Linked DNA regions of Schizosaccharomyces pombe. The protein of the gene in region 2 binds, or shares a complex with, the protein of the main gene of each other region. Each region holds a gene or a part of one and is shown on either strand. Other genes may lie near its edges.

The links.
Region 1: csl4 (region 2) and mtr3 share a complex: the UniProt entries of both Schizosaccharomyces pombe proteins name them as parts of the RNA exosome complex.
Region 3: csl4 (region 2) and rrp46 share a complex: the UniProt entries of both Schizosaccharomyces pombe proteins name them as parts of the RNA exosome complex.
Region 4: csl4 (region 2) and rrp40 share a complex: the UniProt entries of both Schizosaccharomyces pombe proteins name them as parts of the RNA exosome complex.

The regions. Positions count from the first base shown.
Region 1 is NC_003423.3:3,885,197-3,891,006, forward strand, and holds mtr3 (exosome complex component mtr3), read right to left. Parts: upstream 3,122-5,810; 5' UTR 3,083-3,121; coding exon 2,968-3,082; exon of another isoform or gene 2,930-2,967; coding exon 2,271-2,929; 3' UTR 1,709-2,270; downstream 1-1,708. Other genes in the region: gamma tubulin complex GCP4 subunit Gfh1, read left to right, coding at 1-470; ubiquitin conjugating enzyme Ubc8, read right to left, coding at 816-1,370; uba1 (ubiquitin-activating enzyme E1), read left to right, coding at 3,500-3,505, 3,564-3,628, 3,737-5,810. UniProt on the Schizosaccharomyces pombe protein: Non-catalytic component of the RNA exosome complex which has 3'->5' exoribonuclease activity and participates in a multitude of cellular RNA processing and degradation events.
Region 2 is NC_003421.2:2,276,275-2,281,924, reverse strand, and holds csl4 (exosome subunit Csl4), read right to left. Parts: upstream 2,658-5,650; 5' UTR 2,593-2,657; coding exon 2,047-2,592; 3' UTR 1,639-2,046; downstream 1-1,638. Other genes in the region: opt3 (OPT oligopeptide transporter family protein), read right to left, coding at 13-313; U6 snRNP-associated protein Lsm8, read right to left, coding at 3,622-3,712, 3,776-3,944, 3,999-4,023. UniProt on the Schizosaccharomyces pombe protein: Non-catalytic component of the RNA exosome complex which has 3'->5' exoribonuclease activity and participates in a multitude of cellular RNA processing and degradation events.
Region 3 is NC_003423.3:636,491-643,160, forward strand, and holds rrp46 (exosome subunit Rrp46), read left to right. Parts: upstream 1-2,841; 5' UTR 2,842-2,883; coding exon 2,884-2,938; exon of another isoform or gene 2,939-3,021; coding exon 3,022-3,647; 3' UTR 3,648-4,853; downstream 4,854-6,670. Other genes in the region: AFG1 family ATPase, read left to right, coding at 1,164-2,528; ndi1 (NADH dehydrogenase), read left to right, coding at 5,196-6,670. UniProt on the Schizosaccharomyces pombe protein: Non-catalytic component of the RNA exosome complex which has 3'->5' exoribonuclease activity and participates in a multitude of cellular RNA processing and degradation events.
Region 4 is NC_003424.3:1,176,685-1,182,329, forward strand, and holds rrp40 (exosome subunit Rrp40), read right to left. Parts: upstream 3,257-5,645; 5' UTR 3,248-3,256; coding exon 2,525-3,247; 3' UTR 2,172-2,524; downstream 1-2,171. Other genes in the region: dihydroxyacetone kinase Dak1, read left to right, coding at 381-2,123; mug84 (pig-P phosphatidylinositol N-acetylglucosaminyltransferase subunit), read left to right, coding at 3,570-4,157; SPOM_SPAC22A12.14C (BSD domain-containing protein), read right to left, coding at 4,545-5,438, 5,483-5,533, 5,589-5,645. UniProt on the Schizosaccharomyces pombe protein: Non-catalytic component of the RNA exosome complex which has 3'->5' exoribonuclease activity and participates in a multitude of cellular RNA processing and degradation events.

The DNA.
Region 1 (5,810 bases), on a different chromosome or scaffold from region 2:
TACACTTAAGTATAACTAAAATCAAATCCCTTTTTTACGAAAGAAAGGAGTATACTGCCAAAGGTATTTCTCAACCATGGACTCAATTGTGGGTGACTTTATGGTTCTTATCATCTTTACAATATTATGCCTACGAATGTGTTATAAAGCCGTCATATTGTAAATTACGGGAATCTCTTACTGAGTTATATAGAACACAAAAGTTACGTATGCAAGACTGTTCTCAATTGCATGCTTTAACGTTGACTTACGCTAAGAAAATGTTGTTTTTTTACGATGATGATTTACACATTTCTTTAAACTCGATTTACCATGAGCTTTCTTTATTTCGTAGTCAAGAAGTTTCGAAAGTTGACTGTCAGTTAGCTGCTCACGTATCTCATTCGATTGAATGCATACGACAGAAAGAAAATGATCCATCGTATGATAGGGAAATAATTAACGCGCTGATTGTTCAGCTTAATTTATAGGTAGATATGATCAATGTATTTATTTAATATTTTTTTTCTATTTTATTTAAATATTAGTTCTCATTAACTATGCATCATGGAGTTATAGTCGTAAATTATGCTGCAGTAACTTGAAGCTTCAAGAAAATAAACCTATTAAATATCGTTGTCACGACTACTGATTGAAAGCAAATTCAAACGGGTTTTGCAAGCGACAGCATGCAAAAAGAATCATTCAATGCATCAATAGAAAAAAAAGTGTAACAGATTTAGCTATCCATCGGTTTATTGAATGCCACAATCAGTATCCATAAAGAGAATTCAAAAAAGAATCAATGTATATCAAACAAAGCAACGTAACGAAATTTAAAAATCAGAGTCCATTGGACCAGCAATTTCATCGCCAGATTCAGTGTCAATAGAAGACATGGTGTCATCATCTGAAGAGTCGTTCAAAGTTATATCAGCGTCTTCTTTATTAGCATACCGAGCGATATAATCTCGAACCTTGGCATAGTAGGTATTCGGCTCTCGCAATAATAGAGCTGCTGCCTCTCCATTTAGAGGGTCCGACGCATTAGGATAACGGAGTAGCTGTGGAAGAAAAACCTCAAAAATATTAATCATATCAAACATTGGAGACCAAGTTTGATTTATCACGTCCAAGCAAACACTTCCACTAAGCTCATCGATATTGGGATGAAATATACGATTTACAAATCCAATACTTGGAGATTTCCAAGGATACTCACTTGGCAGTTCAACATGAACTTTCCATATTCCACCTGAGTAAGGGGTTTCAGACGGTCCATGGAACCTAACGTAAAATTCTTGCATATTATCATTGACAAGAGTTACCTCGTAATCACTCATCAGCAGCTTCATAACGTCCGTCTCAATTCTGCGCCTTGGGCTCGACATTTTGATTTTTTATAGTTTTATTTCAAAACTAAAAAAGAACTCAATAATTTTAAGCTAGTGTAGTATTCAAATACGGTAATTTGCTGCAATAAAGGCAAATTCGCAAATTCAGCAGTTTTCGAGTAATTTTCAATAAAATCAAATTATTTTGGACTTTTGGAAAGATTCTTAGCTTCCGTTTTAAATGGTTCTATCCTATTGTCCGTGAATATATCAAATTTTTAAAAGCAACAACTAATAATCATCAATGACCTAATTTAAATGAAAGCAATTTTATTGTATAGAAGAATCCCCTCTTTATCGTCCTTCTTATTGTTAAATATATTTTAATTTACAAACGAGGCAATTGAGCATAAGTTTGGCTATGATGAAGACGCGGAATTTCGCTGATTTGGAGGTTATAAGAAGCAGGTAACAGTATGTGAGTAACAATGATTCTAGTACTACCAAGATGCTTTCGTCTCAATGCAGCTTGATAAATTAGTATCAAATATATGTATTAATAAAATCTCAGCATTTGTTTTGTTCTATTGGAATCGATAAATAGACTGGAAAAAATTGGAAAGAGTTAATCGTTTGGCTACTGAATATATTCGCGAGTGATAAAAACTAAGATCTTTAATTTAATATTTACTCGTATTTTTCATAACAAACGTAACTTGCGGATGGCCAAGCTGATTTCAAAGAAGAAAATCTACTTAGGGAAGTCATCTGCTTGTTTGTCGAGAAAAGATAGCGTCTCCCTTCAAATGTGTGTTAAGGAAAAAAAGGCAAAACTTGAGCATTGCCAACTAATAGAAGAGAATTTTAAAAAGAAATAAATTTGATTATGTAATTTGTAAAATTGGTATAAATATTAGCCATCAACAGAATATTATTATAGAGGTAGAATTCCAATATCTAAGGATCTTCGGATTTCGACTTCTCTAGTAGCAGTGCATGATTAATTACTAACCGAGTATCTTTGGCATTCTTTATGCATTTTTCCGTCAAAAACGAAAGGCGACTCGGAGAGCAAGTGCCTCTTTCCCATACTTGAGTAACGTGACCAAGAGAAGCCATGTACCCCATAACTACAGAACCTTTAGCAGCCCTTGCACGCTCATCCACATAATCAGGATCAATCCAATATTCATCCGTATTGGGATTAAATAATACACTCGAGCCCGTCACCAAATCTATGCAGTCGATGTTAGCATCAGCTATTGCACTTGATGCGCAACTTATAGCAGCAGCCAATGTTGCTAATGCACCGTCACTTTCAATCACTTGAATATAAACGTCTATAGAACTTTTCGGATACAAATGCAGTAATATACTTGGAGAAATTGCTGCTTCAATCATTTGGGAATAGCTTTTTTCTTCGACGGTTTGTACATGTCCCTGACGAACAGAAGTAGAAAATGGGGATAATCTAAATTCACAATTCAACTTTGCTGATGAACGAAAAGCAAAAGTCTTACTAGGTCGAGGACCAGAGACTGTGCATGCAATTTTTATTTTTTCTGATTCAAAATAACTGCTACCGACAGCTTTAGTAGCCCACCCTAATTTTAGATCTAATTGTCAGTGAAAATGTTAATAATCGGTATCTTACATATTTTTCGACATCTGTCAACATCACGAGTCCGCGTGAAAACAGGTTGTTCTGGCTCTTCAAAATAAGGGGGAACGGATACACTCGGTCCATACACTCTCTTTCTATCTGACATCGATTTATAGAGTATTTGTTTTAACCTTGATGTACCGTTAAGAAAACAATACAGAAGCAGCCTGGATTTTCAGTGGTGGCTTCGCGTTTTGGGATGACGCGTTTGCATGCCTTAATATATATAACGATATTGTTTGATTCGGTGTATATATGACATATAGAAAGCAATTTTATCGCATCTAAAAGATTTTTGTAATGACTAAGCGTTTCAATCAGTAAGCTGGAAAATAAAAATGCTTTTAGAATAATGGTGCAAAATTTTTTTTTATCCAGCCAGCATACTTCAAGTGCGCGCTCTTAAATTTAATGAGTAATAAATTGTTAAGCATGTGTAACGAAAGAGCTCGCTATTTGAACATATAAAAACACTATATTATAGCCTACGTATGACTCTCCTCTGCCAACACCACGTTTCGTAATGAGTGTATGTAATTTGTTTAAATGATTCAAGTATTTTTCGCTTCTTACTAACATTGCAAAAGAATAACATGAACATTGATCAAACGGATCAAAATACTATCGATGAAGGGCTTTACTCTAGACAACTGTAAGTTTTATTAGAAACATGAAGAGTCATTATTACCGGTGTTGATTTGGTTTAGCTTTATGTTTTTATATTCTTTCTTGTACTGAGCGCTTGCTAATTTATCTAAAGTTATGTTTTAGGCCATGAGGCTATGAAACAAATGAGTCAGTCGAATGTCTTAATCATTGGCTGCAAAGGTTTAGGCGTTGAAATAGCAAAGAACGTTTGTCTAGCAGGTGTAAAAAGCGTTACTCTTTACGATCCTCAACCTACACGCATTGAGGACTTATCATCACAATATTTTCTTACAGAAGACGATATTGGTGTTCCTCGTGCAAAAGTAACGGTATCAAAGTTAGCAGAGCTTAATCAATATGTGCCTGTTTCTGTAGTTGATGAACTTTCAACAGAGTATCTAAAAAACTTCAAATGCGTGGTTGTCACAGAAACTTCTCTTACGAAACAGCTAGAAATTAACGACTTTACACACAAAAACCATATTGCTTATATTGCTGCTGACAGCCGTGGTCTTTTTGGATCGATATTTTGTGATTTTGGTGAGAACTTTATTTGTACTGACACTGATGGAAATGAACCTTTAACTGGAATGATCGCTTCAATTACTGATGATGGAGTTGTTACCATGCTTGAAGAAACTCGTCATGGATTGGAGAATGGTGATTTTGTTAAATTTACCGAAGTGAAGGGTATGCCTGGTTTAAATGATGGCACTCCTCGTAAAGTTGAAGTGAAAGGTCCATATACCTTTTCTATCGGATCTGTTAAAGATTTAGGAAGTGCCGGTTACAATGGTGTCTTTACCCAAGTTAAAGTTCCAACCAAAATATCTTTCAAATCTCTCCGCGAATCGCTCAAGGACCCTGAATATGTATATCCTGACTTTGGTAAAATGATGAGACCTCCACAATACCACATTGCTTTCCAGGCCCTTTCAGCATTTGCCGATGCGCATGAAGGTTCATTGCCTCGACCCCGTAACGACATTGATGCAGCTGAATTTTTCGAATTTTGTAAGAAAATTGCAAGCACACTTCAATTTGATGTTGAACTCGATGAAAAACTAATTAAGGAAATTTCATACCAGGCAAGAGGTGATTTGGTTGCAATGTCCGCGTTTTTGGGCGGTGCTGTAGCACAGGAAGTGTTGAAAGCTACCACCAGTAAATTTTACCCATTGAAGCAATACTTCTATTTTGACTCCTTAGAAAGCTTGCCATCTTCTGTAACGATCAGTGAAGAAACTTGTAAACCTCGTGGCTGTCGATACGATGGGCAAATCGCTGTTTTCGGTTCGGAATTTCAAGAGAAAATAGCTTCTTTGAGTACGTTTTTGGTTGGTGCTGGCGCTATTGGATGTGAAATGCTGAAAAACTGGGCTATGATGGGTGTCGCTACTGGTGAAAGTGGTCATATTTCTGTTACTGATATGGACTCCATTGAAAAATCGAATTTGAATCGTCAATTTCTCTTTCGTCCTCGTGACGTCGGAAAGCTGAAGTCCGAATGTGCTTCTACCGCTGTTTCAATCATGAATCCTTCATTGACTGGTAAAATAACTTCATATCAAGAACGTGTTGGACCAGAAAGCGAAGGCATATTTGGCGATGAATTCTTTGAAAAGTTATCTTTAGTCACGAATGCTTTGGATAACGTCGAAGCTCGAATGTATGTTGACCGCCGTTGTGTATTTTTCGAAAAGCCATTATTAGAGTCTGGTACTTTGGGTACTAAGGGTAATACGCAAGTTGTTGTACCTCATCTTACAGAGTCGTACGGATCATCCCAAGACCCTCCTGAAAAGTCATTTCCTATCTGTACTTTGAAGAACTTTCCTAACCGTATTGAGCACACCATTGCATGGGCTCGCGATCTCTTTGAAGGCTTGTTTAAACAGCCTATCGATAACGTTAATATGTACCTTAGTTCTCCTAACTTTTTGGAAACTTCATTGAAAACGAGTAGTAACCCCCGTGAAGTTTTAGAAAATATTAGAGATTATCTTGTTACGGAGAAGCCTCTTTCATTTGAGGAATGTATTATGTGGGCCCGTTTGCAGTTTGATAAGTTCTTTAACAACAACATTCAGCAATTACTTTTCAATTTCCCTAAGGATTCTGTAACCTCCACTGGCCAACCGTTTTGGTCTGGTCCTAAGCGTGCCCCTACTCCATTATCTTTTGAT
Region 2 (5,650 bases):
GCTTTGACTTACTCGATGCGGGTATATCAACATCGTCCGTTACAGGTACAATTGCATCAATGTCCCTGACGGTAATATCGTAAACAGCATTTCCTGGTACTGAGGATTCTCTTTCAGTAATGTCGTCAACAAACTTTTCGTGACCAGCATAATTTATGATTTCAAAAGATTTCTTTTGCTCATCGAATTCATGAAATTTCGAGGCGATAGGGCTCGAGTTTTCTACGATATGGTCTTTGTTGTTTTCAACGCTTTTCGATTCAAGTCCTTTGAAACCACGAGTAACGTAAGTGATAAATTTTGGAGTTTTCATCCTTCAAAAATGAAATTGTTACTTAACCCAGGACCAATTTGATCAAAGTAATCTTTATCAGATCAGCAGCTTTGGAGAAAGAAATAAGACTATATTTATACGATTGATGTGCAAGCTGGAGTAATCGCAAGGGTTTCTAAAGGATACCAACAACGAATAATAAAAACCTGTGCATGAGTTCAAAGTTACGAATTATCTCCACATCTTTTTCATCACGTTTATACTCTGCACAGCGACAAGCCGACTTACGATGGTCTGGAAGTTGCTGCCTAGAAGCCTTCCCAAATTCAAATAGTGAGAATTGATCTGTTAAGATTAGTTGCAGCACGGTTTACTCACCATATGGCTAATTTCGGAACAACATCTTAACTCTCGCCGAATCACAAAGCTAGTAGATATAAAACCATTGCGCTCTTGCATTCCAGTGAAGACAGCGTATTAGAAGACAATCTCAGCCCATCATACAGTTACTGACAAAACGATCCGGAATTATAAGCTTCTCGAACAAATTATCTAAGATGGAATGAGCGACTCCAGATGTACTTTTTTCGGTAAATTTTCGTCATAAAGAGATGTATTTGTAACCAACTTTTATAGAAATCCTAAGCTTAAGATTGAAGAATAATCTGATAAGATAGTCATCTGATATAGTTAAACATCGACTATTTGAGGTAATAAGTATGCTAATGAAAGATGTTTTTGTCGAACTGATTATTGAAACCTATTATCATATGGAAAATAAAACCTTTCAATCCCTTTTTATGGAACTAGCCCAGAATCCATTAAAGTCAGTGTACCTGCGAATTGGATTTAGAATCCTCTATTTGATGTCATGGTAATGGAATATTTTGCAATTATAAGTATTTACAAACAAATATTAGGGATGAAGAGATTAAATTTGATAGTCTCACGCTGGAGTAGCTTAATGAGTCATGACAGCTATATACGGAAAAGACGGGTAGAATAGAAGCTCTCGTGCTTATATGAGAATCTGGAAACAGTTGTCTACTAATTAATTGATATAAAATATATCAGTCTAATGGCCGAAAGTAAAGATTGAGATGATACTTGATGTTTAGAGACAACCTAGTATTTTATAAAACTGTGTATAAAAAGTACATCCAATCCCTTAATGTAAAAACTGAAAGTAGTTTTGAAAAGTTACTGAGAGGTGTACGAATACTAATTTTCATGTCATTAAATACTTCATCCTTAAATCTGTGATCATAAATGTTATTTCAGGATATCACAGCCTCCAATGAAAGGTGCAATCCTCGATATTAAATTACACAAAATAACTTAATACAGTAACCTTCTTAGAAAGTTGTAAACATAACACATATTATTGCTAGAAACTCCTTATTCATGTTTTTGTTAATGAATTAGAGTTTATAAACAACCGACCAATTCAGTTCCATTAAGTAAATAACTTTAAGAAACTTCAGAGCTCCTGTCCGTTCAGTTGAATTACAAAGGTTCTCTATATCTTATAAAACTATACATTTGACTTCTAATTGAAAATGATATCGGTTTCGACAGCAAGTCACCTCAATCATCATTCTAATGAACTTCCAATATTTCTATATTCAATATTATTTTTATCCGTGTTCCGTATATTCGTATCATAAAATCTCTAACAATTTCAGAATTTTTTTTTTGTTAGGAAAGAACGAACCGAGAGGGAAAAAAAACTATCAGGTTATATCAAAACAAAGCAATTTTATCCCCTCATTTTATTCGTCTAATATAGGTTTAGCACATTTACGCATTTCCGTATATCCTGATTTTGTTTGCATATGCTGATAATCCACCGGAAACATTTGCTCTCCTGTTTCACTAGACTGAGCAAAAATCACACCAAGATCATTTCGAGCTGTTGTTAAAAAGTACGAAGAGCCGTCTCCAAGTGAAATTACAAGTGCTCTGACAATATCACCCGGTCGGAATGAATTTTGCACTTTGACTTTATTTTTCTCAGTAGCTCTAATATCCTGCACATGTATTACCCCTTGAAATTCATCTTTGGTGCAGACATCGTCAACGACTGAGATGTTTACAGTTGCTTGACGAGCATTGATCCTGCTGACGCGAGCTAAAACAATAGATCCGACATTAGGTAAAACGGCTGTCTCTTCAACTTTTCTTGGGTACGTTACAGAATTTTTCTCTGGATCAAAGATGCCAGTTCGTGTGGAAATAATATAATCTCCTCTCTTTACCGTTCCTTCACCGTTAGGAGCCCCTCTCGCGACCACCTGTCCAGGGAGAACCAAATTCATATTTAACGGCTTTAATAAACTAAAAATAAAGGAATCAAGTCCGTTTTGTATGGCTGTAAAAAATTAATTGAAAAAAAGTTGCTGTAAGCACAAAGGTCGTTGTAAACTGTAGGTTACAATGTAACCTAAAGTCACTGCTGCAGAAATTTCAGTTTATTTTGCTAAATTGAGAAAATGAAATTGCAAAGGCATTTAATTATCAAACAGTTTTTCTGCTCTTCTTTCAACAAAAATTTTTTCTTGATAATCCCAAAGCTTGGAAAGTAAGTTCACAAAACGATGCCAAAATAAAAAATCACTAAAAAAAAAATATGAGCAGCAAATATAATAAATCATTTTTTTTGTTTAACTCAAATGATCTTTGTAAATTGGACCATGATGCTGAAATATTTCTCAAGGTAGAGAAATTTTCCAGTGTAAACATTAAGCGTGACAGCAAAAATGAAGAATGTTATGCACAGTAAATGATATAAATTGTGATGTTTTTTTCCATATAATAACAAAAATCAATGATAAATATAAAGTCTTTAAACAAGTTGACCACAAATTTCAAAATCAAAGTGCATAAATCAAATTAAGGAAACAAAGGTATGTTAACGTTCCCAAGAATCATTTAAGAAAGATGAAACCCACAAAATAAGAAGAAAAATGAGTTTGTGATCCACAAATTTAACAAGAAACCAAGAATTTTTTAAATTCTGAAAGAACCGATGTCCTCGAACTCGGTATTTTAAACCATTTTTTTAAGTATTTTCGTTCAAGTGTCAACTCTTTGTCATCAGAATTAATCTACAACCTCAGTCATATTTTTTTAAAAAAATAAAGAAAGAATTTTCACTTCTTTCTACGAGCTAATAGCTTCCTGATAAAAGACATGCTGCAAGGTATGAATATATCGTGGAAAGCTTAACAAAATTTGCAAAGGATTCGCCCGCACAAAGAGGAAATATAACAAAAAAATCATTAACCCAAATCCTATGTAGCCTTAAACGTTTGTTCTCATTTGAAGTTTAACGTCCGGTTTTTGTATTAATGCACAACGTCAGGTATTGCTTCACCTCGAATTTTGGTCCATTCTATTTCTGAATCTAATTCCTCATTCACTAATCCAACCATTGCTCTAAAAATAACTATTAGATTATTGATTTACGTACCGCCAGTACAAGGCTCTGCGTCCACTTACACATTTTCTCCACGTAATAAATAAACGCCTAAAGGAATTGTTTCCATGTCTTGATCCATGCTAATAATTCTTTCAAATGAGTCTGAAAGTATAAGATTGGTCGTGTGATCGAATCCCTTCAGGGAACCTAGCACAACGCGACCATCGTTTGTAATGACTTGAACCCTTTCTAACGAACATCTATATTAGTCACTTCATTCTCTATTGAAAATTTGACACTTACGTTCCATAAAATCAGCAAGACTCATGATAAAGTGATTTAAGTATTAGTTGTATTACAGTATGGTAGTGCTAAACAAAAGTAGGTAGTCTTACAGCATGTATTTCAAGTGACATGATACTTTTTATAAAACATACAGCAAAAACAAAAAAATCAAGAATTTTAATAAACTAATCAAATTGAAAACACCTTTTTGTCTTAAAATTTTGAAGCTAACTTTGCTATCAATATAAGAAGTAACCCAATTATATTTTTAGTTTGGAAAGGAACACAATCTTGTGTCAAAAGAAAATTAAAGTAATTTGTGAAGCGCACGATTTTTAAATGATCTTTTGTTTTATTAATCAACGAAATTTATTTTGTAAAATAGATCTATTAAAGGAAAAGGTATTGAACATTATTCCAGCTATATCCGGCTCACGAATCCTTCCTCATCATTACAAGCAACCGTTCTTCTAACTAAAAATACCCGTTGTAAACAAATATACAAATCTTATGGACGTGGGGAATATAGATGTATATATTTGACTACAGTTATATTCTTGAATTACTTCATTTGATAGTTGTTGAGTTTAAATCATTGAAGGATAATTCTTCTTTTGAAGGTTTGCTTAAATAATTTGGAAGAAATAAGTATTTAAGAATTCCGTTTTATAAGAATTTTTTCACAACTTTAGATTGTTATCGATGTGCCTTACTATCTTAGTTTTTGAATGAAAAATTAATGACGGCTCGAATATAAAGGGGACGGTCTTCGCTCTTTATTCAGCAAAGAACGTATGGAATAGAAAGAATTTGTACTAAATGTGTCACCATAAGTGCGAAGCTTTAGGGTTTTTACATTATAAGACAAGTTAGATTTTTGTTTTAAAGGTGGCATTTAGAATATAGACAGATGAAGTTAAAGGGCGCAGCTCGTTTTCCTTGGCACTTTTTTACACTCATCTCAGTACTTGTATTATCTTCTCAAAGCAGCTTGGTAGTACAATTTTCTTGGATATTATCCCTATCTGATAAAATAAAGTTTCGCTAATAATTAAGCGAAGACTTACAACTTTGACGAAGCAGCACACAGAACTAAACCAGTAGATCATAGTGACTATAAAAGCAAATCTACTTAAAGAGGCTGAGAAATTGCCATCGTGAGTTTATTTATTTTCAGCTATATTCTTCAATGTAAATTTAAGTATTTATTGAGAAAAATTTAAGAAAGTTAAGTTGTTCGTTATAACGTACAGCAGCTACGAAAGGATATTTATACTACTGTCTCGCAAATAAACATTCTAGCAACTCATTAACATCATAACTTGTGTTGGAATAGTAGACAACTATGATGAATAAAATAAAATAAAAAGGGCAAGTTAGAAATCAGAAATTTATGCTTAATGTTTCATTTGGATTTTCGTTATTTCCAATGTATTCTGAATATACTCATACTTAAACACATATTGTTATATGTTATATTTGTTACATCAGGGGGATCGATATATCATATACTCCACAGTATAGCTAATTTATTTGTAACCCTTTTTGAAGAAATATTTATTTGGTATTGAGAATTAAATTAAATTTAAAGATTTACTATATCATAGCCTATTTACTCAATCTGTTCAAATGTTGCTTTCGCAAACATATTTTTATCAGTCACAATATAA
Region 3 (6,670 bases), on a different chromosome or scaffold from region 2:
ATATGCCTTATTTTATCTACTAAGAAGCTTTCAAAGTTCTTAACTCAAACATTTCAGTATTCCTTATTATCACGTTTTAAGAATTTCCCTCCTTTTTTATATATCATTTAACAACATTTGTTACACATACAAGATCATAACTTCATGCAGTAGCTGTGTGTAAACACTAGTATATTAATATATAATTCATTTATTTGTTTGTGGTCTACTAAAGATAAAATAAAATAAGAATAAACATAAGAAATATTAATAAGCCAAACCAAATAATCACAAAAAATACGTATATAGGCGTTTTATAAATATCTGCGTTTTGCTGGAATAATAGTTATGAAACTAATGAACGGAATTCAACTAAACATACTCTACAGCACCAATTAAATTCACTATCGATACGAACTTCTTTCTTCGGGATTTCCTTAAAATCACTTAACATCAATTGTCAAACTTATTAACAAACTGAAGCAATACTTGATATTGACCAAATTAATATTATTCTCGTACTTTTTAATTGAGTACAAAAAATAAAGTTGCCATTGTTTGTTGAATATACAAAAAATGGAAAAGAAATAAATAATACTTTAATAACATGAGTTCCAATGTATTATTGAAATTCCATGCGATTAACTTTTTTACTAATATACAGAATAACTCCACCTATCTGGGATCGTATGGAAGTATAGTTGCTTATACTTAGTTCCATTAAATTTAAAATTTTTTAAACAAGAAATTTTTTTATTAAGAACAGGTTTCTATTTACCAACGAAATAGGCTTGACTTACTAGTTTCAGATTAACATTTGCTCATGATTAAGACAATACGCAAACGCATATACCGAAATCATCGCAATTCACTATAATAAAAGCAAACTGCACTGCCGAACGCTATTCAGAGGCAAGAATAATCATGCATCTGTCCAACGATTTATATTTATTCACTTAAAAACATATGTCTTTAATCACTAAGTACGTCTTGTAGTTGACATATTTTCTTTCTAATCTTTTGCTTTTCATCTACAATCGTTCTACAGCTTTATATCCACTCTCACTTTATCATTCCTGAATGAATTCACTAATTGATCAATAACCACTTTTTTTCTTTACTTTAGTTAGCTTACGAAACATTATTTTTGTTCAAAAGTTTGTATTTAATTTGGTCATATCATCATGCTGCAAGTGCTTCGTGTTTCAGCTCCTTGTTTTGCTTTTGTTGATACTATAGGAAGCATTGGAGTTTGCAGGGTAGTTCGCTTTACCACATTTCATAATACACCTATTGAAGTATACAACAAGAAAGTTAATGACGGCGTATGGAAACGTGACCCGTATCAAGAAACAGCGGTTAAAGCAATCAACCGTTTGTATACCGAATTGGAATCGTATACACAACCTCCAATAACGCAAGATAGTATGCCAGCTGAAAAGGGATCAATCCTATCTTGGATATCCCCCTTAAAGAAAATGTTTTCTAGGAAGAAGTCTCCCACTCTAACTTCTTCTTTACCTGTACCGGGTATGCCTAAAGGTATATATCTATATGGTGATGTGGGCTGTGGTAAAACCGCTTTGATGGATCTATTTTATCACAACTTACCACCCAATGTTACTCGTTCTCAGCGCATTCATTTCCATGCATTTATGATGCAAGTTCATCGCACTTCACATGATTTGCAAGATCGTTATGGGTTTGAGATTGATTTTATAGATCATATTGCATCCGGAATAGCAAAAGAAACAACAGTGCTATGTTTTGACGAATTACAGGTAACCGATGTCGCGGACGCTCTTTTACTACGCAGACTCTTTGAGGCCCTTATGAAGTATGGTGTTGTTATCTTTATTACTTCTAATAGGGCTCCTTCTGATTTGTATAAAAATGGAATACAAAGAGAGAGCTTCATTCCTTGCATTAAACTTTTGGAACATCGTCTTCAAGTAATTTGTTTGGACAGTCCAAACGATTACCGACGCCTAAAATCTAAAACAGAAGATACATATCTTTATCCTGCTAATAGCCCAGAAGTTAAGAAAGCCTTGGAAAATTGGTTTCTTTGCTACGCTGATGAGAAAGATCCTGCTCACCAAGACGAAGTTGAAGTATTTGGGAGAAAGATAATCGTTCCAAAAGCAAGTGGCAACGTTGCATGGTTCACCTTTGAACAATTATGTGGAGAACCGAAAAGCGCTGCCGACTATCTTTCATTGGCAAGCCGTTACCATGTTTTCATCGTTTCAGACATTCCCAAATTGAGTATCGAGTCGAAAGACCTTATCCATAGGTTCATTACATTTATTGATGCCCTTTATGACACCCATGGAAAACTCATCTTATCATCTGAAGTTCCAGTTCAAGAAATATATCCGACAGCACCTTCTGAAGTACTTTCCTCTACGGCTGATCCTGCTGCCAAGGGGAAAATTGAATCTCACTATCATGGAGCATTTGGTGGGATTGAAGAGGTATTTACCTTCACGCGTTGCTTGAGTAGACTTTCAGAAATGAAAAAACAATCCTGGATTCATTCTCCTTAATACAAAGGTGATTCCTTTATAATGAGATTATATATCATGATGTATTATTTTTAAAAAAATATTTTGAAAGATGGCTATGAGTAATTTCTAATTTTTTAGTGGTTGGGCTGTTACAGATCATTCCAGTTTCTCCTATCATTCAGCTTTAGTAAAGTAAAAATTGGAAGAATTTAATTACAAACCCTTATTAATACAACTCCCATTGTCACCAAACTATTGATACATTTTTTTCTGCTCTCATTCTGTTTTCGAATAACGAGGTGTAAGCTAGCTTATTTCCTACTTGTGCAAAGGAAGTAGAAACGTTTCTTCTGTCTCTGCAAGCAAGCAACTTTGTTGCATTATAGAAGCTGAAATGAACCGTATAGGTATCCTCTCAAGGTCTGATGGCTCGAGCGAATGGAAACAAGGTAATGCTATTATCCACGGTATATTAGCCAAGCAAATGCCAATTAAAAAAAAATGAATTTTCTTTATGCTAACATCATTGTAGGTTCTGCTAGGGTTATTTGTGGTGTCAATGGTCCTATTGATGTAAAAATCAGGGACGAAAGGCTTAACAAGGCCACCGTTGAAGTTTTGGTTCAACCTGTGAGTGGTGTCGCTGAGACTTTGGAAAAGATGATTTCTAGCAGAATTGTTGGTATCCTAGAAGATGCAATATTTCTAAACACATATCCAAGAACACTTATACAAGTGTCAATTCAGATAATAGAGGAAGATGGCACAGATACATTGGCTGCCGTAATCAATGGTGCGGTACTTGCTTTATTGGACGCAGGTATCTCTTTAAAATATATTCCCTGTGCAATAAATTGTCACTGGAAGAACAAAATAACTCAAGATGAACCTGATGTCGATGGGACAATTAACAAATTGGAGTCTATTATTACTATTTGTTATTCAATTTCCTCAGAACCAGCCAAATTAATTTTTCTCGAAACAGCTGGCCCCATTCCAGAAGAAGATTTTTTCCGTGTTCTGGAGACAGCACCATTGCATGCCGAGGAAGTTTCTAAGAAAATGAAAGAATTGCTTTTTGAAACGTACAACGAGAGCGATGGTCATGAAAATGAAAAGAACCCCAAAGAGGATGTTGAGATGGATGTGGTTGCATAAGAAAATCAATAAAGTGCATGTAAAAAGTCCATCTCAAGGACCTTCGTTTCGTATTTACCATTGTACCTGTTAAACGACTATACCTTTGAACAATATCTTTGGCTGTTCATTTTTATACTTAGATTTTATATTACTTGGGCGATATACATTGGGTTATTTTTAATTTATTTTAGTTTATTACTAATTGAGAAACCAGAACCTAAACAATCCTACTACATTAGAAGGTTTACTGTCATTCTTTCAATTCACTAGCAATTAATGTGTTCTTTCAATACTTCAATGTATGCTGATACATTTGGGTTAAATCATAAAAGAAGATCTGTCATAAGACAATCGTTCAGTACAAGGCCTTGGGTATATACACTCATGACTTTTTTTTTTAATTTTGCCACTCACTCACTTACTCTATACATATTGAGTCTATCTAACGTATCAAGCTGTTAACTAAGAGAAACGATTTGAAAACACATAGGAAGGTCGCACACATTAGCTGTCTTATATACTACTGAATTTTAAGTTTAGGAAATCATTGAAGGTAAAATAGGTAGAAAAGTGAATAAAAGGCATTCATACCCAGGACAAAGCATTGCCTTCATAAACTGGGAATTTGCCATACACTAAAAAATTACTGTTGCACAACTTTTCCTAAAAAGTAATCTAATGTAGTAATATTATACTACAGCAGGTATTAATATTTTTTCACATGTCCTTTTTTTTATGTGTTCGCCAAATATGACGGTTATAAATTTAGTTAAATACTTTTGATTGAAGGTACTATTAGCTACAATTTATGAATAGAGATCAATTGACCCGGTTCTCAGTCCAGTTATAAGCTGATTCAACGATGAGTTACACCCTTCATGCCACAAAATTTATAGCATTTGTCACCCATATCACTTTTTTTAGGACAAATAACATACACTACCAATGTAACATTAAATGTGATAACACAGTGCGTTGCTAACATTTAGCAATTCTTTTCTTACCACGTAATACTTTTTATGGATAACCTTATTCCGCGTTATTTTTCCCCACTCACAGCACACTTGATTGCCGAGTCCAATCAAGTTGATATGAATAACCGTGATGACGGAATTAGGGCGCTTCGTAGACCTTAATTGTTTACATACAAAATGTTCAGCTATGCAGCCCTTTCGTCCACATTCAACACTCCCCCATCTCTTCTTAAAAAAAAAATAAGCAGAAAAACTCGTTTTCTGTAAAGTAGAAGGTATTTTAGAATACACTACAATTTTTTCTAGTAAAACTATTATTGGATACCTTTTTTTCGCAGTTCTAAAGGCTTATTTCTGCTAGTTATAGTAATTCACTGTGTATTTAGGAGAGGACTCAAGGTTGTCGTTCTCTCTTTCTATTACTGTCTATTAATATCGTAAAATAGCTCAATTTTGAATGGGTTTATCTCTTTAGTTTGCTTGCTCTTTAACATTTGTCATTATCTCATACATTTTTTTACTCACGCCTCCCTACCACTTATCACTTAGTCCTATTTAAGGGGAAATTTGTTTACTTCTTTTTTCTTAAAAAATGTCGGTCTCAAAAGCTAGACTACAGTCTGTGGTTCGCCTGTCTCGTACAGTGCCATATTCAAAAACGATGGTTCGTTCATTTCATGTATCCTGTGCTGTAAAGAACAGTGGGAATGTTCCTACACCCCGTAACAAATCATTTTTCTCTCGAGCACTTGAAATGGCGGAAGTTACTTCTTCTTTGTCCATGTTGGGTGCCGTAGCCCTCTTCCAATCCTTACGAAGACTGAACAACAGTTCGCCAAAAGGAAAATCTGGTGTTCCGAAAAAGAACATAGTTGTTTTGGGTTCTGGATGGGGTGCAGTCGCGGCAATCAAAAATTTGGACCCGTCCTTGTACAACATTACCCTCGTGAGCCCTAGGGACCATTTTTTATTCACCCCTATGCTTCCTTCATGTACCGTGGGTACTTTGAGACTTCCAAGTATTACTGAGCCCATTGTGGCTTTGTTCAAAGGAAAAATTGATCCCTCCAACATTCACCAAGCTGAATGCACTGCCATCGACACATCGGCTAAGAAAGTTACCATTCGTGGTACGACCGAAGCTAACGAGGGAAAGGAAGCGGTTATTCCGTATGATACGCTTGTTTTTGCTATTGGAGCTGGTAATCAAACATTTGGTATCCAGGGTGTCCGCGACCATGGCTGTTTTCTGAAAGAAGCGGGAGATGCCAAGAAGGTGTTTAACCGCATCTTTGAAATCTTGGAACAAGTTCGATTCAATAAAGATCTTTCTCCCGAGGAACGGGCTCGTCTCTTACACATCACTGTTGTTGGTGGTGGCCCTACTGGAATGGAATTTGCAGCTGAGATGCAAGATTTCATTGATAACGACGTTAAGGATATGTTTCCCGAGCTTCAAAAAGACATCCATGTCACGTTAATTGAAGCTGCCCCCGGTGTTCTCCCCATGTTTACTAAATCTTTGATTACGTATACGGAGAATTTATTCAAAAATCTTAACATTAAGATCATGACTAAAACCGTGGTTAAAGATGTTAATGAGAAGAACCTTATCGTTCAAAAGACCAACCCTGACGGAAGCAAGGCTATGCAAGAGATACCCTACGGAATGCTCGTTTGGGCTGCCGGCATTACTGCTCGTCCACTCACTCGTACATTGATGTCTTCTATCCCTGAACAAAGCGGTGCGCGCAAAGGTTTAATAGTTGATGAGTTTTTTAGGGTCAAGGGTGTACCTGAGATGTACGCCGTTGGTGATTGCGCATTCTCTGGATTACCTGCTACTGCTCAAGTTGCTAACCAACAAGGTGCTTGGTTGGCTAAGAACTTGAACGTCGAAGGAAAGAAGTTTGCATTGCATGAACGGATTCAAGCTCTTGAAAAACAGTTAGGTGAGAAAGAGGCTCCTTCTCAGGTTGCCGGATTGAAACAGCAAGTGGAGCAGTTGAAGTTAGAGCCCTTTAAATACCATCATCAAGGAGCTTTAGCTTACGTTGGAGATGAAAA
Region 4 (5,645 bases), on a different chromosome or scaffold from region 2:
CCTTTTTCCGCTACACTCATAACTTTTACGAAATAGCGAAACGAAAACGAGACATAACGTAACGAAACGAAACGTTTACTAGTATATTCTTGGTTTATTTATTTTGTATTTAAACCAGTTGAAGCATAGTAGCGTATAAAGTGTTAATTTTTTCGCATTGAAGGGAATTTTGATATTAATATTTTGAGATTTTAGAGACACATAGATTTATTTCTTTAATCCTTTACTCACACTTGCACTTCCCCACCACCTAAAACAAGTCATTTTATATTCTTAGATCATAAATTTCGGGAATATTTGATTTAACTATCCAACTTATATTTAATTTTATTTTAAGGCTTTATTCTCTTTTTTTTACCTTTTTCTTATTATTCTAAAATATGGATAAGCACTTTATCAACGATCCTGAAGTCCTCGTCCTTGATGGCCTTAAATCCTTGGCCGACATGAACAAAACTTTAACTGTTCATGAAGAGGGAAAATTCATCTATTTCCATGACTACAACAAAAAGAATGTCAGTGTCATTTCCGGCGGTGGTGCTGGTCATGAACCCACTCATTCTTCGTTCGTGGGCAAGGGTATGCTTACTGCCGCCGTCTCAGGCTCCATTTTTGCTTCTCCTTCGTCAAAGCAAATTTATACCGGTATTAAGCAAGTCGAATCTGAGGCTGGCACCTTGGTAATTTGCAAAAACTACACCGGTGACATCCTTCACTTTGGTATGGCCTTGGAGAAGCAAAGAACGGCTGGTAAGAAGGCTGAACTTATTGCCGTTGCAGATGACGTATCAGTAGGTCGTAAGAAGAGCGGTAAGGTCGGACGTCGTGGTTTGTCTGGTACTGTTCTTGTTCACAAAATCGCTGGTGCAGCTGCCGCCAGAGGGTTACCTTTGGAAGCCGTTACGACCATTGCTAAGGCTGCTATTGACAATTTGGTTAGTATCGGTGCTTCACTCGCTCACGTTCACGTCCCTGGTCATGAGCCAATTGCAAAAGAAGATGAAATGAAACATGATGAAATGGAACTTGGAATGGGTATTCACAATGAACCTGGATGCAAGCGTATTTCCCCTATTCCCTCTATTGATGACCTAATCGCTCAGATGCTTAAGCAAATGTTGGATCAATCCGACAAGGACCGTGCCTATGTAAAGATTGAGGGTGACGATGAAGTAGTCTTACTTATGAATAACCTTGGTGGTCTTTCCATGCTTGAATTCAGTGCCATTAGCCACAAGGTGAAGGAAGCATTGGCTAAAGAATACAAAATCAACCCCGTTCGCATCTTTGCCGGTCCATTTACCACCAGTTTGAATGGCTTGGGTTTCGGTATCACTTTGCTCCGTACCACTGACCGCGTCAAAGTCGAGGGCGAAGAATACTCTTTGGTTGATTTGATTGACCAACCTGTTGAAGCTATCGGATGGCCTTTGTGTCAACCCTCTGACTTGAAGTCCAAAAACAAGATTGGCAATGTCAGCATCGAGGAGGGTCAGAAGGATGTCAAGTCTCCCGTTACTGTCGATAAGGAGAAGGTTCGTCAGGCGATTGTCAATTCGATGGAGAATCTCATCAAAGCAGAGCCTAAAATTACAAAGTTCGATACGATGGCTGGTGATGGTGACTGTGGTACTACTTTGAAGCGTGGTGCTGAAGGTGTTTTGAAGTTTGTTAAATCCGACAAATTCTCTGACGATCCTATTCGTATTGTTCGTGATATCGCAGATGTTATTGAAGACAATATGGATGGTACATCTGGTGCTTTGTACGCCATTTTCTTCCATGGCTTTGCGAAGGGCATGAAAGACACCTTGGAGAAGAGCAAGGACATTTCATCTAAGACATGGGCTGCTGGTTTGAAGGTTGCTCTTGATACTCTTTTCAAGTATACTCCCGCTCGTCCTGGTGACAGCACTATGTGTGATGCTCTTGTTCCATTTGTCGAAACATTTGTTAAAACTAATGATCTTAATGCTGCCGTAGAGGAGGCTCGTAAAGGTGCTGATGCTACTGCAGATATGCAAGCCAAACTTGGACGTGCTGTCTACGTTGGTGATGATGTTAAAGTTCCCGATGCCGGCGCTCTTGGTGTCGTTGCAATTGTCGAAGGATTTACGAAATAATTGGATACGAAATTTTTTTGGGATTGTAGAATTGGTATGATCTTAAAAACTATTTACGAGCACGAATAACAATTATATTTTCATTATGCATGCATTAATTATTGCTTACTTATCTTTGCATCTGTATTTGTATATTCATGCATTATAATAAGTAATTTTTTAATTAAAACAGTTGAGAAAGGACGAGTGTAGATATTGTATGAACACGCTGCTGTAATAAATAAAAGAACGACAGAAATTGTATGGGAATATTAGACACAGGCATTAAAGAAGAAACAATACACTTTATTCAGAAATGGTCCCTCCTAGATAAGGGCAAACCATTTTTGAATTAAACCCAATTGGACAAGAATTGTTAAATAGACTGTGCATATTATTCAAATTTTTTTTTCTGAATCTCGTTAGAGCTTTTTAATAAGGTCTTTACAGTACTTTATTTGCTCTTCATCAGACATGAATTCGCAATTTCTGATAGCTGTACAAATGAGGACCGTAGTAGAAAGATTTTCAGAATTGACCCAAACGCGACCATTCATTCCAACAGCAATTTCGAAAGGAATGTAGCTTCCTAGGGTCTGTAAAAGTGTATTTTTAGGAAGGATCAACTTCCTACAATGAGATAAAGATAAACCTGTTATCATATAACCGTTTTTAAGTTCACCATATCCTGCAGCTTTCCCTGTGGTAGCATCGAAACATTCTAACTCCGGTTCCATATCACGATCAGCGAGTGATACTCGAGCATACACAAGGCTTCCAACATTTAAATTGGGCCTACTTTTACGAGTCACATTTTCAAAAGCCAATGCATTCAATTGAGCAATATGAGCTGACCCAATATCTACTCGATAACCTTCCGCAAATCTAGAAATAATTTGCCCAATAACTTGATCATTTGTAGCAGGAATATATCTTTTTGTCCGTGAGTCTATCAACATAGCATTTTTTCCAGTTTGATGCAACCTCCCAGCTTTTGAGACCACTATTTCTTCTTCACGGTCTTTCTTTTGAAAGACTAAACCAGGACCTAAACGAATTGATCCATCCTGACTAATTATGGAGTCTGGTATCCGCTCACCAGGAAAGTAATAAGATAACAGACCTTTTTCTTCAACTTCAGCCATTTGGTTAACAGAAGAAAATTAGCTATTTGGGGTTTGATTTTTCGCGAGTTATACACTATAATTCGAGGATTAATGTCTTGGACGGTAAGTGTGTCTAAACTAATACTGTAAATCTCGTTAATTTTATAAATCACATTAGCCCAGACTGTGAAAAATAACGCAAACGTACATTGTGCTATAATGCTGTTTACGAGGATTTTCTGTATGTATGTCGTTAATAGGGATATCGAATTTAATCACATCGTAAGCAGACGTAGTTGTATTTGTATCATCTCAGTACGCGCTCTCATCTAACAAATGCACATAGTAAACACATGTTTGGATGACACTTACTCATCATTCCACGTTCATAAAAGGGATAGAGGGTTCTGCTGAAGGAGAGATAGAAGATGTAAGGCAAACTACTGTTTTTGATCCTCCGTTTTACGGACATCCGATGTTGGTTCCACCGTCGCCATCTTTGACTACGATGTTTCGAACGAGGTCTACAACGCCTGATGAAGAGGGAACTGCCATTGCAGAAATTGATCAACAAGATTGGGATATAATGGTAAAAGTTCCTACTTATGAGTATTACGGGTTCGTGATGTATTTGGTGTCAATGTTGGGGTTCGGCGTGTATATTGTTTGGGCTCTGACGCCTGCGCCTGTTCTCAAATTTTTTGAGATTCATTATTATCTATCTCGTTGGTGGGCTCTAGCTATTCCTACTTGGTTATTTGTTCTTGTTATTTACATTCACGTTGTGCTAAACGCTTACAATACCGAAGTATTGACTAAGCCATTTAGCAGCTTAGAATGTATCGTTGATCAATACGCACTCGTTGGTGAAGAAGATGGTGCTGCTCATGGTCGAGTTGTTGATCTTCGCCTATGTGATGTGAATAAACAACAACTGGAAGAAACTTAAAAAAGACTAAAAGCAGCTAAGTGATATCAGAATTCATTTTCTCCTTAAAAATCTTCATTATTTAAGGGACTTATTATCTATTGATGTCGTCGACCCATACAGATTTACTTTTAAATCCTGGTTTCCTTAAGTTTCACAATCAAAAAGTATATGTAAATGTATAATATTATAAGAAGGTTGATTAATGCTCTAGTCCTACTACTCCAACCTGCATACTCAAGATTAGATGTTTTTTATATTCCGCTAATAATATACCTAAGAGTTGTTCGTAAACAAAATGTTTTCAGACAAATAATTAGCTATACGAACAAAACACACCAAAACAAGTAAATGAATAGAAGAGAAGTAAAAACAGTATATCTCTTTTTAATAGTTTGACGAGAGTCGTTATTCCCAGTCATCATCGTCTTCATCATCGTCATCAACTTTTCTATTTGCTTCATCCTTCACCTCAAGAGAACTTTGAGAAGCTTCTATATTACTGGAAGATGATACTTTATTTTCCTCTTCTTCTTTAACTTCTCCATCAACCTCTCCATCATGGCTTGCGGGTTGAGTTTCAATTTGTAAGCCTTTTGAAACTGCTGACTCCAAATCATTGACGGTTTCATCTATCACTTCAGCTGCTGAATTATTCTCAGTAGTATCTTCTTCACTTGATTGCTTTTTTTCATCATTAACCTGTTCATTGTCACTTTCTTCTTCATCACTTCTTTCATCTCCCCAACTAAAAATTTCTTCTTCATCGTTTCCTGATTGAATTGCCTTTATCGGCTGTACAACCTCTTTATGCCAAAAAAATCGTTTCCAAAAATCATCATAAGAAACTTCAGAAGGTACTAAAGATTCCATCTGTTTCCTTAAATCAGGATATTCTTCCAAAAGTAAAGAGATCTCTTCAGTTTTCCCATCAATGGAAATTTCTTTTTCCCAGCTTTCAAACGTGATCCCATGAGAGGGTTCAGAGATAATTTGGGTAAAAGTATTTTCGTTTTGAACAAGTTCCAACAACTGTCTCTCGTGGCGATTTAAGAAAACAGACGAAGAGGCTTCGTGTGTAGGAGTCGATACATCGTCTTCTTTGGGTGATATCTGCAATGCTTGATCCAAAAAACCATTCACTGTAGATCCGAAGCCACTCCAGAAACTTCCTGCTGTTTCTTCTACTTTTCGCAAGTTTTCCATAGCAGAATTAACAGGTATATTTTCTTCAAGCTGTGATTTTAATTGCTGCATTCCACTTGAGGCTTTTCCCTTTGTATCATCAAGAAAGTTTTCACTCTTTGAACGGTTAGTAACAATGCCATTATTCGCAATCAACACACCTTTTCTTTCATTGAGTTCCAAAACAAACCAAACTTTCCATTCGTCAGATTCTGTATAAAATGTCAGTAAATTCCGCGCCGTAAATCATCATAAAGGATAAATTACATTTAGAGCCGAACCCATTTCTTCTTTCAGTTTTTCGTATCCCTCTTCATCATCTTC